Tribolium castaneum: one gene and its partners. The protein of the gene in region 2 purifies or fractionates together with the protein of the main gene of each other region. This does not show direct contact. Links are inferred from orthologs where the notes say so. Each region holds a gene or a part of one and is shown on either strand. Other genes may lie near its edges. The genes, in order: sxc, Set1 and CXXC-type zinc finger protein 1.

The links.
Region 1: the proteins of Set1 (region 2) and sxc purify together in Homo sapiens (affinity purification with mass spectrometry; 4 studies listed by BioGRID and IntAct, with this or other methods). This does not show direct contact. The link is inferred for Tribolium castaneum from reciprocal best matches to the Homo sapiens genes SETD1A and OGT.
Region 3: the proteins of Set1 (region 2) and CXXC-type zinc finger protein 1 purify together in Homo sapiens (affinity purification with western blotting; 16 studies listed by BioGRID and IntAct, counting the BioPlex papers as one, with this or other methods). This does not show direct contact. The link is inferred for Tribolium castaneum from reciprocal best matches to the Homo sapiens genes SETD1A and CXXC1.

What each region holds. Positions count from the first base shown.
Region 1 is NC_087394.1:6,432,389-6,436,794, forward strand, and holds the start of sxc (UDP-N-acetylglucosamine--peptide N-acetylglucosaminyltransferase 110 kDa subunit), read right to left. Parts: upstream 2,836-4,406; 5' UTR 2,690-2,835; coding exon 2,566-2,689; intron 2,513-2,565; coding exon 2,302-2,512; intron 1-2,301. UniProt on the Homo sapiens protein: Catalyzes the transfer of a single N-acetylglucosamine from UDP-GlcNAc to a serine or threonine residue in cytoplasmic and nuclear proteins resulting in their modification with a beta-linked N-acetylglucosamine (O-GlcNAc).
Region 2 is NC_087401.1:8,403,566-8,407,350, forward strand, and holds part of Set1 (histone-lysine N-methyltransferase SETD1B), read right to left. Parts: coding exon 3,256-3,785; intron 3,207-3,255; coding exon 3,043-3,206; intron 1-3,042. UniProt on the Homo sapiens protein: Histone methyltransferase that catalyzes methyl group transfer from S-adenosyl-L-methionine to the epsilon-amino group of 'Lys-4' of histone H3 (H3K4) via a non-processive mechanism.
Region 3 is NC_087398.1:9,599,031-9,603,362, reverse strand, and holds CXXC-type zinc finger protein 1, read right to left. Parts: upstream 3,034-4,332; 5' UTR 2,924-3,033; coding exon 2,900-2,923; intron 2,847-2,899; coding exon 2,701-2,846; intron 2,651-2,700; coding exon 2,306-2,650; intron 2,257-2,305; coding exon 1,503-2,256; intron 797-1,502; coding exon 563-796; 3' UTR 488-562; downstream 1-487. Other genes in the region: uncharacterized protein LOC107397902, read left to right, coding at 3,262-3,601, 3,654-3,786, 3,848-4,039, 4,093-4,332. UniProt on the Homo sapiens protein: Transcriptional activator that exhibits a unique DNA binding specificity for CpG unmethylated motifs with a preference for CpGG.

The DNA of each region.
Region 1 (4,406 bases), on a different chromosome or scaffold from region 2:
ATAAAAATAAAAATTGAAACATTAGGTTTTCCTTTCTATTTTTATTAAACTAAAACGAAAAAACACCATATTTGGTCAAAATTGACCAAAAAATTACTTTTTCTACGCGTTTATTTAGCAAAAACTCAATTATTGTGCAAAATTTCTTAAAAAGTAAGCCAATAAATCAGAGAATTATGTCAAAAATTACATTATTTTTGCAAGTTTCGAGGATTTACACTCGTTTTAGACTAAACATTAGGTTTTTCTTTCTATTTTTATTAAACTAAAACAAAAAAATCACCAACTTTGGTCAAAATTGACAAAAAAATTTTTTTCCCAAGCCTTTGTTCAATTATGTGCAAAATTTCTGATAAAGTAAGCCAGTAAATCACAGAATTATGTCACAAATTACATTATTTTTGCAAGTTTCGAGAATTTAAACACGTTTTGGACCAAACATTAGATTTTCCTTTCTATTTTTATTAAACTAAAACGAAAAAATCACCAACTTTGATCGAAAATGACCAAAAATTTACCTTTTCTAAGCGTCTATTTAGCAAAAACTCAATTATTGTGCAAAATTTCTTAAAAAGTAAGCCAATAAATCACAGAATTATGTCAAAAAGTACATTAATTTTGCAAGTTTCGAAGAGTTAAACACGTTTTAGACCAAACATTAGGTTTTCCTTTCTATTTTTATTAAACTAAAACGAGGAAATCACCAATTTGGTTAAAATTGACCAAAAATTTACTTTTTCTAAGCCTTTATTCAGCAAAAATTCAATTATTGTGCAAAATTTCTTAAAAAGTAAGCCAATAAATCACAGAATTATGTCAAAAATTACATTATTTTTACAAGTTTCGAGGATTTAAACACGTTTTGGACCAAACATTAGGTTTTCCTTTCTATTTTTATTAAAGTAAAACGAAAAAATCATCAACTTTGGTCGAAACTGACCAAAAATTTACCTTTTCTAAGCGTTTATTTTGCAAAAAACTCAATTATTGTGCAAAAATTTCTTAAAAAGCCAATAAATAAATCACAGAATTATGTCAAAAATTACATTATTCTTGCAAGTTTAGAGGATTTAAACAAGTTTTAGACCAAACATTAAGTTTTCCTTTCTATTTTTATTAAACTAAAACGAGGAAATCACCAACTTTGGTCAAAATTTACCAAAAATTTACTTTTTCTAAGCCTTTATTCAGCAAAAATTCAATTATTGTGCAAAATTTATTAAAAATTAAAAAGTAAGTCAATAAATCACACAATTATGGCAAAAAATACAAGTTTCGAGGATTTAAACACGTTTTTAAACCAAACATTAGGTCTTCCTTTCTATTTTTATTAAACTAAAATGAAAAAATCACCAACTTTGGTCAAAATTGACCAAAAATATACATTTATTTTCTAAGCGTTTATATAGCAAAAACTCAATTATGTGCAAAATTTCTTAAAAAGTAAGTCAATAAATCACACAATTATGTCAAAAATTACAAGTTTCGAGGATTTAAACACGTTTTTAGATCAAACATTAGGATTTCTTTTTTATTTTTATTAAACTAAAACGAAAAAGAAGACAAAGTCAAAGAAGACATTTTTTGCAAGTTCTAGGATAAAAACCCAAAAAAAATCAAAATTTGATCGAAAATGACCAAAAATTTACATTTTCTAAGCGTTTATTCAACTAAAACTTAAATGGCAGTTGTTTTGTTTATTTTAAAAAGTAAACACACTAGCACAGATAACGTACCATTTCTTTCATAATCCAAACCAAAAAACGTTCAAAATTTTAAACAGTCGTTAAACGAGATTTCTATAATCCTAAAACAATTCCCGTAATTCTCAAAAAAATAAATCGATCAAAATTGAAAAAAAAACATAGTTGAATAGAGTATGAAAGCAGCTGCGTCACTCGACCCCTGTGGCAATTGAAATTTCTTGAAGGGGTGGCTCTGAGCACTAGAGGGGTGCAAATAACTTTAAAGAAAGAACTCTAAAAAATAAAACTTGGTCCCCCTTTAATACAAAATTGACCTGTTTCAGCATTTTTCCAAACTTAGACGATATCAGGGATCTTAGAGAATGCAAATTTTAGTTATTTTCACATTTTTCTCCCCCCCACTATCACCTCTTCAAATTTTTACACAATTTTTAAAGCCACCCCTGTATTTCTGTAGTTGCGAAAAGTCCGCTAGAGGACACCAACTTCGCTAACTTTCTACAGTGAACAAATCATTCAGAAACCTCTTATAGGTTTTTAGATTTAGAAAAAACTGTAGAACACTCATGGAATAAGCCAAAACAATGAAAAATACCTGTAAGCTTCGGCGAGGAGTGGATTTTGTTTGATTGCCAAAGTGCTGAAATGTGCGGATTTGTCTAAACGCCTGCACTGGAAATGTATGCTTGACAAAAGCAGTAAAACCCCCGTATTGGTCTGATCCTGTCTCCACAACTGCATACAGTGCCTCTCTGCATTTTCATAATCCCCAGCTTGGTACTCACGATGGGCAAGTTCAAGAAGCCCTAACACACAAAATACGTAAACAATTGCCAATTTCACCATCACAAAGACTCACCAACGGACGAAAGCTGCGGAACATCATTCATCTTTAAGACAATGGGACTACCGGTGATGGGCAACCCGCTGTTTGTTCCAGAACTGAGATGGTTCTGACCATCGACCACAATCTGGTCCTGCATGGTAAAGCACGCCGTTACACCAACATAAACCCTATCTGACCTATTTCTGCACACTTTCACCACAGTTTTTCACCAAAAAACGCTCTAAATTACAACAATCGATTCTCTGATGGCCTCAAATGGCCGCCACTGAAGAGAGACAACTGAAGAACTGTGGTCAAAGCGCAGCTGCGACCTGATTGGTCTTTGAGCTGCTGGAGCTGGCGTGTGATTGGTGGAAGCGAGTGGAAATTTCCATTCCATGGTCCGTTATTTACCTGGATTTGGTCGTCAATGGGTGCGAAGGGGCCCACGACGATTTTTTGCGATTCAATGGGATTTACCAGATGGGACCATTTGCACTATTCCCGGGCTGTGACGAGCTTCGGAGCACAAAAAAACCACAAGGCGTCTTATCAATTTCACGCCCGATGAGGTGCGATCGGTAGGCCTTGAATGGCACGAAAACGCCCGAATGCGGGGAAATCACTAAATGGCGCAAATTTTGATTTTGCAAATGCGAATTTCAAATTGCGACAATAAGTGACACATTAAATATTACTTCAAATATTTGTCAATAAAATCAAACTCCAATGTGGGAAAATTTAATTACTAGCAAAATTCAGGCAAGGGAAAGCACAGGGTTACCCAAATACAAAATCTAACAAACCGAAAATAATAATAACAATTTTTTTAATAATTAGATTAAGAGATTGCGGAATTGTGTATTTTTTGCCGTAATTGTTAGCAATTGTTAACAATTCAAAAAGCCATTAATGACTGTTTAATTTTTTTGTGTTTTTTTTTTTAGAAAATCACCACGTTGTGGTAAAGACAACATTTTTTTACTGTTTTTGCGTTATACATATTAGTACTTAAAAATACAGGGTAATTCAAAAGTGACAGACCATCTCTCATATGGTGTTAAAAGACAAAAATTAAGTCAGATTTTTTTTTCAAACAATTTTGATATATTTTTTGTTCTTTTGTTTCCTATGACGTCGAATTTAATTTATTGTCAAATTTGCAAGTTTTTTATTTCTTTTGTACATCATGAAACATTAATTGTTGATTTTTTCAATATGTATTTGTTTAATGTTCCAAGAGCTGTCGTTTCTGCTAACTAAAGCTAAAAACATACGATCTAAAGCAGCAAAAACTTAACTTAAAAATTTAACTTAGAAGAGCTATATCTCGTGAAAAAGGGCTCTAACAATTTTTTGTCATAGAATTTTTTTTAATTCAGTTTGTTTTTAATCTAAATTTCTTTGAAAGTATTTCCGACTTTTTTGAATTACTCTGTAGTATATTAGACAATCAAAATTGCTGAACATTAATAAATAATGATAATGACTGAAAAATTACGTTATTTTTTTTCTTTTCAAGCCAAAAACTCCCTAATTACTTTAAAAAACCATTTTTGCGACATGATATCGAAATTTTGTCACAAAATTGAGTAATTTAGGTCAAAGTTGAAATTATTTTTTTGTTCTTTGCGTTATATTATTACGTTTTTTTTATCTAGAAACGTAATTATTTCACACAACTTTAGATAAAACAATCTAAAAGATTGCCAAACTAAGCCACAACTGCGTGTTTTTTTTTACTTTTTTTAAGGATTTTTTTTTGACGAACACTCTAATGTTACTTCTTGTTGGATATTCTTGGCGTGAAAATTAACCAAACCAAAGTTTAAGTTTGGTTTGTCAAGTTTTTAAACTTAGTTTTAGTTAACCCT
Region 2 (3,785 bases):
GATAGAAATTTTAAAATTTGGTGTTTTTTTGCAAAGCAAACAAACAAAAGGTTTGAAAGTACGAGTGTCTGTAATACCGGCATAACAATTGCGTAGCAATACCGCCAATGACGATATTGCCAACTACGTGTATTTTTCTTGATATTTTGCATTACTACTAAAAGTTCATAGATTTTTTTTTACATAATCCTCATGAATAAAGTCAGGAACCGCAACCGAGGTATCAGAGGAACATGGTCTGAAGAAAATATACAGCATGCTCTAGCAGCTGTTAGAAACGGTATGCCCGATAATACAGCAAGTTCTTTCTTACTTTTATGTTTAGTTGTTTGTTTATTTAGAGTTTTATTTATGTTTCCTTTTTTTCAAAAAGCATTACTTTTGAAAAGTTGAGTTTCTTTGAAAATTTTTGGATAAAAATAATGTTTTGTAGGAATAGTATTATGTGGCGTTATTGAGACAATAACGCCAATGTGCAATGTTTTAAAAAAAATATTCATAGAATGTACAAATATGCCAGGAACATCTTTTAACTGTTTGAACTTTTTTTTTTAATTTGACTATTTAAGAGAAAATATCCATCGAAGCTTAGCATGACGATATTGTATTCACTTACCTTAAATTATTTTCAAAATTGCTGATTTTCTGGAACTACGAGAAATTGGTACCAACTTTGAAATTTTTAATAGTAACCACCTATTTTTATTGCATTTTTGAATTCGCCTCTTGAAATTGAGTAAAATGTACTCTAGTTGTTAGTACTTATCTGCCATAGTTTTTGACGTATGTCAATTTTTTATACAAATTTTCACTTACAGGGGTTCATTTAAAATATTACAGCTCCTGAACCCTTTACAATAAGTAAATATTTCTCTTTGCCAAATGTTTAGAGGGTCTTCTCAAGCCTTTAGGATTGTCAACTGTCAAATTGCAAGGCTACTATGATTTTTTTAAAATGATGATTAAAAAATGATAACAAAACAGTTTTTTCAAATGGAATAACTGTTTTTTTCAATGACAATCAAAAGAACGTCAATTTTTATGCAGACTTTTGTTAACATCTTCTATATTTATCCATTACAGTATTTGAAATAATCGCAAAAAACAGAATTTTGGCTCATTATTTTCATTTTTAAAAACGTAAACTTTTGAAAACTACGATAAAATTATGCTATTAATTAAAAGAAATGTCCTATTTGTTAACCATTTTCATTTGAGAAGTTCAAAATTCGAAAGCAGACTGAGTTACTTTACATAATTCACTAAGTTGTAATAAATAAATTATTATAATTAAATTCGCTTATTCGATAATGAACCAGCTAAAAGCTAAATAAAATATTGAAGTTTGACAATTGTTGAATTTTACAAGGTCTACTAAAAGCCGTTTTTTGTGATTTTTTTCAAAAACTGTAAGAGATAGGTATAAAACGTATTGATAAAAGTCACCACAAGTATATATATTCTTTCGATTACTGTTAAGAAAATCGGGTCGTTCCATTTGAAAAAATTGAGTTACAGCAGTTTTTTGAAAACCATTTTGAAAAAATCACCCTAGCCATAAATTTTGATAGTTGACAATTTCGGAAATTCTAAAAAACTCTTCAAACCTTGGGTTATCCAATTCAAAAAAATTATTCGCTTATTGCAAAGGGTTCAAGGGCTGTGATATCTTAGATAAACCCTTGTAAATGAAAATTTTAACAAAAAAATTGACATAATTATGTTAAAAACTAACAGACAAGTACCAACAACTTAGGTAAATTTTACTCAGTTTGAGAAGGTAAATTCAAAAATGCAATAAAAATGTTCGGTTACTATTTAAAATTTCAAACTTGGCGTCATTTTTTTATAGTTCCGTAAGCTGAGCCATTTTAAATATAATTTAGTTGAATTTAGAATGGTCGATTTGGATCATATATACAAAATTTTAAAGCTTTAGTTCTATTAAAATTTCAACAGTATCTATTGTAGGCCTTAAAAGAATCACCCTGTATATTTCAGAAAAAATCTATCATTGTAAATTCCTTTGTTTAATAAGAAGGGCAACTGGGTTATGTCATTCTTTAATCTCTTTAAGAAAAAACAATTTTTTTAAACATGTGTAAATGAATCGAATTTTCACGTAAAAAACTGTTTTTGGTCAATGGGTAGTATTTATAAAGTGGAAGTAAACCAGCGTGTACCAAAAGTAAAGTGCGACGTAGGCGTTTTTATAGTTTTGAAACAGCTAATATTTGTAATAATTAAGGATAGTCGATTATATTTCATTAGAAAGAAAGAGATAGAATTATAGTAAAAGCTTTTGCTACATTTTATAAATACTACCTATAATCTAGCATATTATCAAACATTTAGCTTAGCAAGTAAGTGTTAAATACCTACGTACAATACAATATTATTTTTTCTTAGCAAATCTTATTTAAAAATACTATAGTACCAAGTAGCAATTAAATTATTTACCAAGTTTTGCCTATCAAATTTTATTTAGGACCTAGCATTTAGAGTATTTTACTTTGCATTTACAATATTTTACTTAGAAAATGACTATTATTTACTTAGAAGTTCATTAGTATCCTAAAATTAACTAGATGCCCCCTGGTGATGATAATTTGTACTATGTCGAAAACAGTAATTGTTTAGCAATTTTGCGTGTTTAATAACCATTTCTTGCATAGAGAGTCAGTTTAAAAGTATGTGGTGGTAAATACTAGCTTTGACTTTGTTTATGCAGTTTTTTGTGTTTATAGTGTTTTGTGTTGGAATTTAAAAGTGAATAAAAAGTGAAAAAAAATCATTTTTCATTACAAAGTATTATGAAAACAATTACACCATCAAAAAATATAAGCAATGATCATCGGGAACAGAAATTGGGCTCAAAAAAAAAATAATAAGCGAAGTGTGTGAATTTTAGGTTAGAATTTTTCAACTGAAAAAACCGCAATTAGGATTAACAACTGCTGATAATACATTTAAACATATTTTTTAAATATTTCCGCCATTTACGGTTACTGTTTATTAAAAAAATAGAAAATGGCTACTCACTTGTTCCAGCGCCACCTTGTGACACTCCAGGTAAACTTCTTTGGACAAAAACGGCGACGGTGGCGTTGACAAGGGGGCTGTATCGTCACACTTGACCGAATTTGAGTCAAACTCGGGGGCCGGGGGGTTGATGGGCATGTCACTTAGTGAGATACTTGACCGGTCTGCAATACCAACTTTACAAAATTGAAACACTAACACACCACCAAATACCATCATCACTGTCAATAGATGTTGGGATTGGGACCGATTTGGGCATTCTGTCAAAGGAAGACTTTGATTCGTCGTCCGAATCCCCGCCTAGTAGTAAAAAAGGCGGGGCTTTATCACCCGTGCCACGCCCCTTTAACAGAAGGGCAATTCTCGTGTCTAAGTCCAGTGTTTTGCTCTCTTCTTCCTCCTTTTCTTTCTTGTTTTTAGTGGGGGGTGCAATGTTATTACGTTTTTTCTCCTCTTTGTATTCCTTAACTGTGTGTTCTTTTTCGGGCCATTTGGGGGGAATGGGGGTGCGGTCCCACATGTCTGAAGGCCATTGGGGCGTGGCCATTGGCCACACTGTGGGTGGGCAGTGATAAGTGGGCGTGGCGTACGGGTATTGATGCGCCATGTGTGAATAATCGTAAGCCAATGGCGTGGTACCTGCCGATCCGTAACTGGCCGAAAATTCACTAGAGGCGGTGCCATAACCCATATCCGAACTACTGGGCGTGGCAAATTCACGATACCTATACCTATCTCTCTCC
Region 3 (4,332 bases), on a different chromosome or scaffold from region 2:
CAAAATCACACATAAAAACCCCATAAATCACCTCCGGGAAAGCGTTTGCAAAGTTAAAGGGTCAGATGCACCTTCCGCCACTGACATTGTCACGGAAACACCGTAAAAATCGCTAAACGCACCGTATTTCCAGCGATAAAAACGTGTCATCATCACTTCCTGATTACACAAAATATAAAAACGCTCAATCAGCTGAAACAGTAACGAACCGACAATGTTTTGTGTCAGTCTCTTCATCTTCGTTGTGCTTTTAGCCAACTTTTCGGCGCTAGCTTTACCGGAACCTGCAGAGAGCGACTCCGGCTCCCCGGTTGCCAAAAAGTGTGTAAAACCGGTGACTTTCCATACTGATTCTTACTTGTTTCAGGGATAATTCGGACGCAATTTTTACCTTTATTAAAAGTTTGCTGAATACGGGACATGCCGGGGCGCAAATCGCCATAAACAGGGTCAAAGCCGAGGCAGAAAAGAGAAAACAACTCCTGGATGAGATCAAACAAACTATATTGCCGAAATCAAGCAAGCAATGATAATGTTGTACATATTTTCTTAAATAAAGTTTTTACGTGAAACGTGGTTTGGTAGACGTGCGGAATCTCTTAGCCAACTCTCTTTGCATCGCGTTTTGGTCCTGCTGACTCGCTTTTGTTATTTGTTCCATGACTTCGTGATTGTATGTCGAGTGCAGCATCAGAGAGAGCACTCCGGCTCTCGAGGCCATTGTGTTGCGAATTTGGCGCTCTTTTTCTAAAAGTTCGTCCATTTTCAACCACTGGCGCACCCGTTCCAAGTCGATCTAAAATTTGAACTCGATTAATGCCTGACATTTTTTTCTTCAAAAAAAAATTAGTTAATGAAAATAAAGAAAAGTCAACAAAGTGAAAAAAGGCACTTTTTATTGACAAATGGCATTTTTTGTTGTACCCCAAATCTCAAAAAATGCAAGGTAGTTCTGAAAATTAAATTAAAAAACCTGAAAAAGTTCTTTGTAATGTCACCAAACATGCACCAATCTCCTTTAGTAAGATATTTATTAAAAAATCACCCTTTATTTATTTAAAAAATTTTTGTTTTTCAGAAAACGTAACCATTTTTACAACTTTTTTCTAAAATATTACGTTGTCGTTTACTTTTTTCATTTTTTTGTGTTATTTACTACGTAAGCTTTTTCTTCCATTATTGATGGTGAATTTTCTATGAACATGAATTGAAACTACAACTACAAACTTTTTAAAACTAAACAATTAAGAACTTAAAAAGTAAAAAAAAACGACGAAAACTAATAATTTCATCAATTAATTTAAAAAAACGCAACCCGTCTATTTACTAGGTATTTTTTTCAAAATCAAAATCAAAATATTTTTGCCGGCCTTAACATTCCACCCTGAGCTATATTGCAATACAATACAAATTCTACTAAGCAAAAAAGATGGAAAAGTAGATTTTTTCGAGCAACTTTCTTAATTGTAGCATTAATACTTCATTTTTTTTTAATATCTTACCTCAGCCCGTCTCAATTTCTCCCAAACGTGATGCTTAACGCATGATTTTTTCGGCGCTCGACAAAACTCCCCTGTCAGATCGAAAACGTTGGTGACCAATGGACAGCCACAGACTTCATATTCGCCGATTTTCGGATCCTTGCAATGCTCTGGGCACAAAACCCTCAATCTTTTACAATAAGTCCGATTAGCTGGATTATAAAAATCGCAAAACATGTTATTCCCCTCAATTCTGGTTTTAAAAATACTCCCGAAACTCGCTTGAGATTCGTACTTGTTGAAACACTTTTCCATGTGTTTGATGGCCGTTTTCGAATGTATTTCGAGTCCGCATGTTATGCAATACATGGTCGACACTTCCGACTCTTCGTCGTTGTCGAAATCGGCGTTCGGATCAATGGTGGCGCTCTTGGCGCGCTCGATAATCGCGTCCAATTCGCGATGCCGGCTGTCCAACTCTTGCAAAATCTGTTTGACTTCGAACTGTTGCTTCCTGACTTGGTCGAGAGCTTTGATATTGGACTCTTCGGCAGAGCAGGGACTCAGGGCCCACTCTTGGATACGCTGTGGCAACACTTGCAAAATCCGATTGGTTGCCAACTTTAAGCCACACTGATCCGAGCAGTATTTCGAGCCGTAGCGGGCGCTATTGGTACACGTGGGCCCGTAGCATTGGCGCGGATAGTCGGTCATGAGGTGGGCATTGGGCGGGCCTTCCCTGTCCGAGCTTGAATCCCGCCTCTTGCGCCTCCCCCTGCAAATCAATTGGTCAAGAATCAAGTCATGGGGCGTGGCTACCCCACCCGCCGTAATTTATGCAAATCCGCTGCTTGCACCGCTCCTTGTTGCGCGGGGAGCCGTGACGGCTCCGCCTCGTGCACACGTCGCACCGCCCGCAGTCCTCGGTGCGGTAACACCCCATACAGTCCCCGCATTTTTTCATTTTTTTGTCGTTTTTGGTGTCACCTCGTTCTTTGCGTTTGCGGGCTTTGCGCTCCTCGGTGTTGGTGTTGGCACTGGCGATTTCGTCGCGTTTGGTCCGCCAACGAGTCTGCAGAGTTGAGTCCTCCTCGGAACAGCGAATACAAATGTATTGTTTGATCATTTTGGCCTCCTTTTCGGAGATGTTCATGCAATCGCCGTGGTACCTAGAAATGCATGATTTGAACAATGTGTTGGCATGCAGGTGGTTTTTTACCATTCTTCACAGGCGTCACACGCAATCATGAAACGGGAGCTGTCCGAGGAGCGACAAATGCAATAAGCTTGACCATCTTGCTTGAGGAGGGTGTCGATTTTGGATTGACGCTCCGGTAACAGAAACTGTTTAGCGATCTCTTCGCGCTAAAAACAAGGCAAATTAAACACAGTTTTGTCCGGTTTATGCCAAAAATTACCGAAATATCGCGTTTTCGAGACATCTTCAATTAACTTAACCTTGCTTCTTTTAGCCACTTTTCCTAGCTCTGTTAGACATTTGAGGTAGGTCAGCACCTTAAAGCTAAACAATCGCCATTTTCAATGCTTTTCTTATGGGCATTTAAAAGTTTTTCGTATTTCTTTAATGCTAGAAGTGTAGGAACATTACTTTTACAGAGAAATGATAGCTATGAAAAATGCAATGTCGTTTCTTAAAGATTTTAGCAACTGAGCTAATATTTCTGTAAGTTGAACACATAAATCCTTTTCTAACCTAACTTTTTTCAAACTTCAAAATTCAGTTTTTCTTAATTTGGACATCATATTGATGTAAATTATTATGTGGCCTTTTAAAACTGAGGGAAAAATGGTTTGCCACACTAATGACATTGGATTTCTTCTGAATGACGAATTCATGGGGTGCAACCGGCGCAACCCCAATAAACGGGTTGTTTTCTGTCCCCCTCCCCCATCACGAGGGATGAATAGCAGGTATACGAGGGTAGAGGGTTCAGGCACATACATGGTTGAAAGTAGTACGGGTTGTGAGTTCTGTGCTTCTTTCGTGAGTGTCTTTTGTTATCGTGTTTTTTCCGATCGTTCTCCATATCTTCGTGTTCTTGAATTTTTAAAATTCTGTTTTTCCAAGACATTATCTCATTTTTGTGGTACATCATTAGGTATGATTTGTGAATAATATTTTGTTGCGATACTTTGATAGTTCATGTGTAGTAGGTTTTTACATCACAACTATGGGAATGTGTTGGGCTCCAGATTGCAAACACTATAGTACTCGCGATAAATGCCATTTTTTTAGTTTTCCTAAGTCGGGAAAAGAACGAGCACTATGGAAAAAATTGTTGAGGTAATTTTTAATAGATGTTTTGATATTAATTTTTAATTGCTTGTTTCATTGTTAAATGTAGAAGAGATGTAGAACCCGGACCAGGAGCCTACGTTTGCAGCTGCCATTTTCGGGATGGAAGAAAGGAAAATGGTCCTGAATTATTTTTGCACAATATCGCAAAAAGAGCCTATTTTCAAGTGGAATCTCCAGAAAAAAAAAAGATGAAAAAACAAGGACTCCCTTCTTGTTCTAGTTCCGCTGAATCATTAAGGTAAAAAGTGAATCCTAGTTTTAAATTGATTTACAATTTGATCATTTGAATAGTGTTGATATACCGGAAGAAACAGTACCATCGACAATGAATTTAGAGGAAGTGCCATCGACGTCTACAGCCGTAGTTGCAGCACCAGCAGATATAATTCAAGATGCTCCGTTAGAATCTATGGGTGTGCAAGCACCCTTGGTGTCACATGCGGCTCTTGAAGCAGAAATGTATTTTCTCAAAAAGGAAAATGCTGAACTTAAAGCAAAAATACAATATCTGACAGTACGATTTTGCTATGA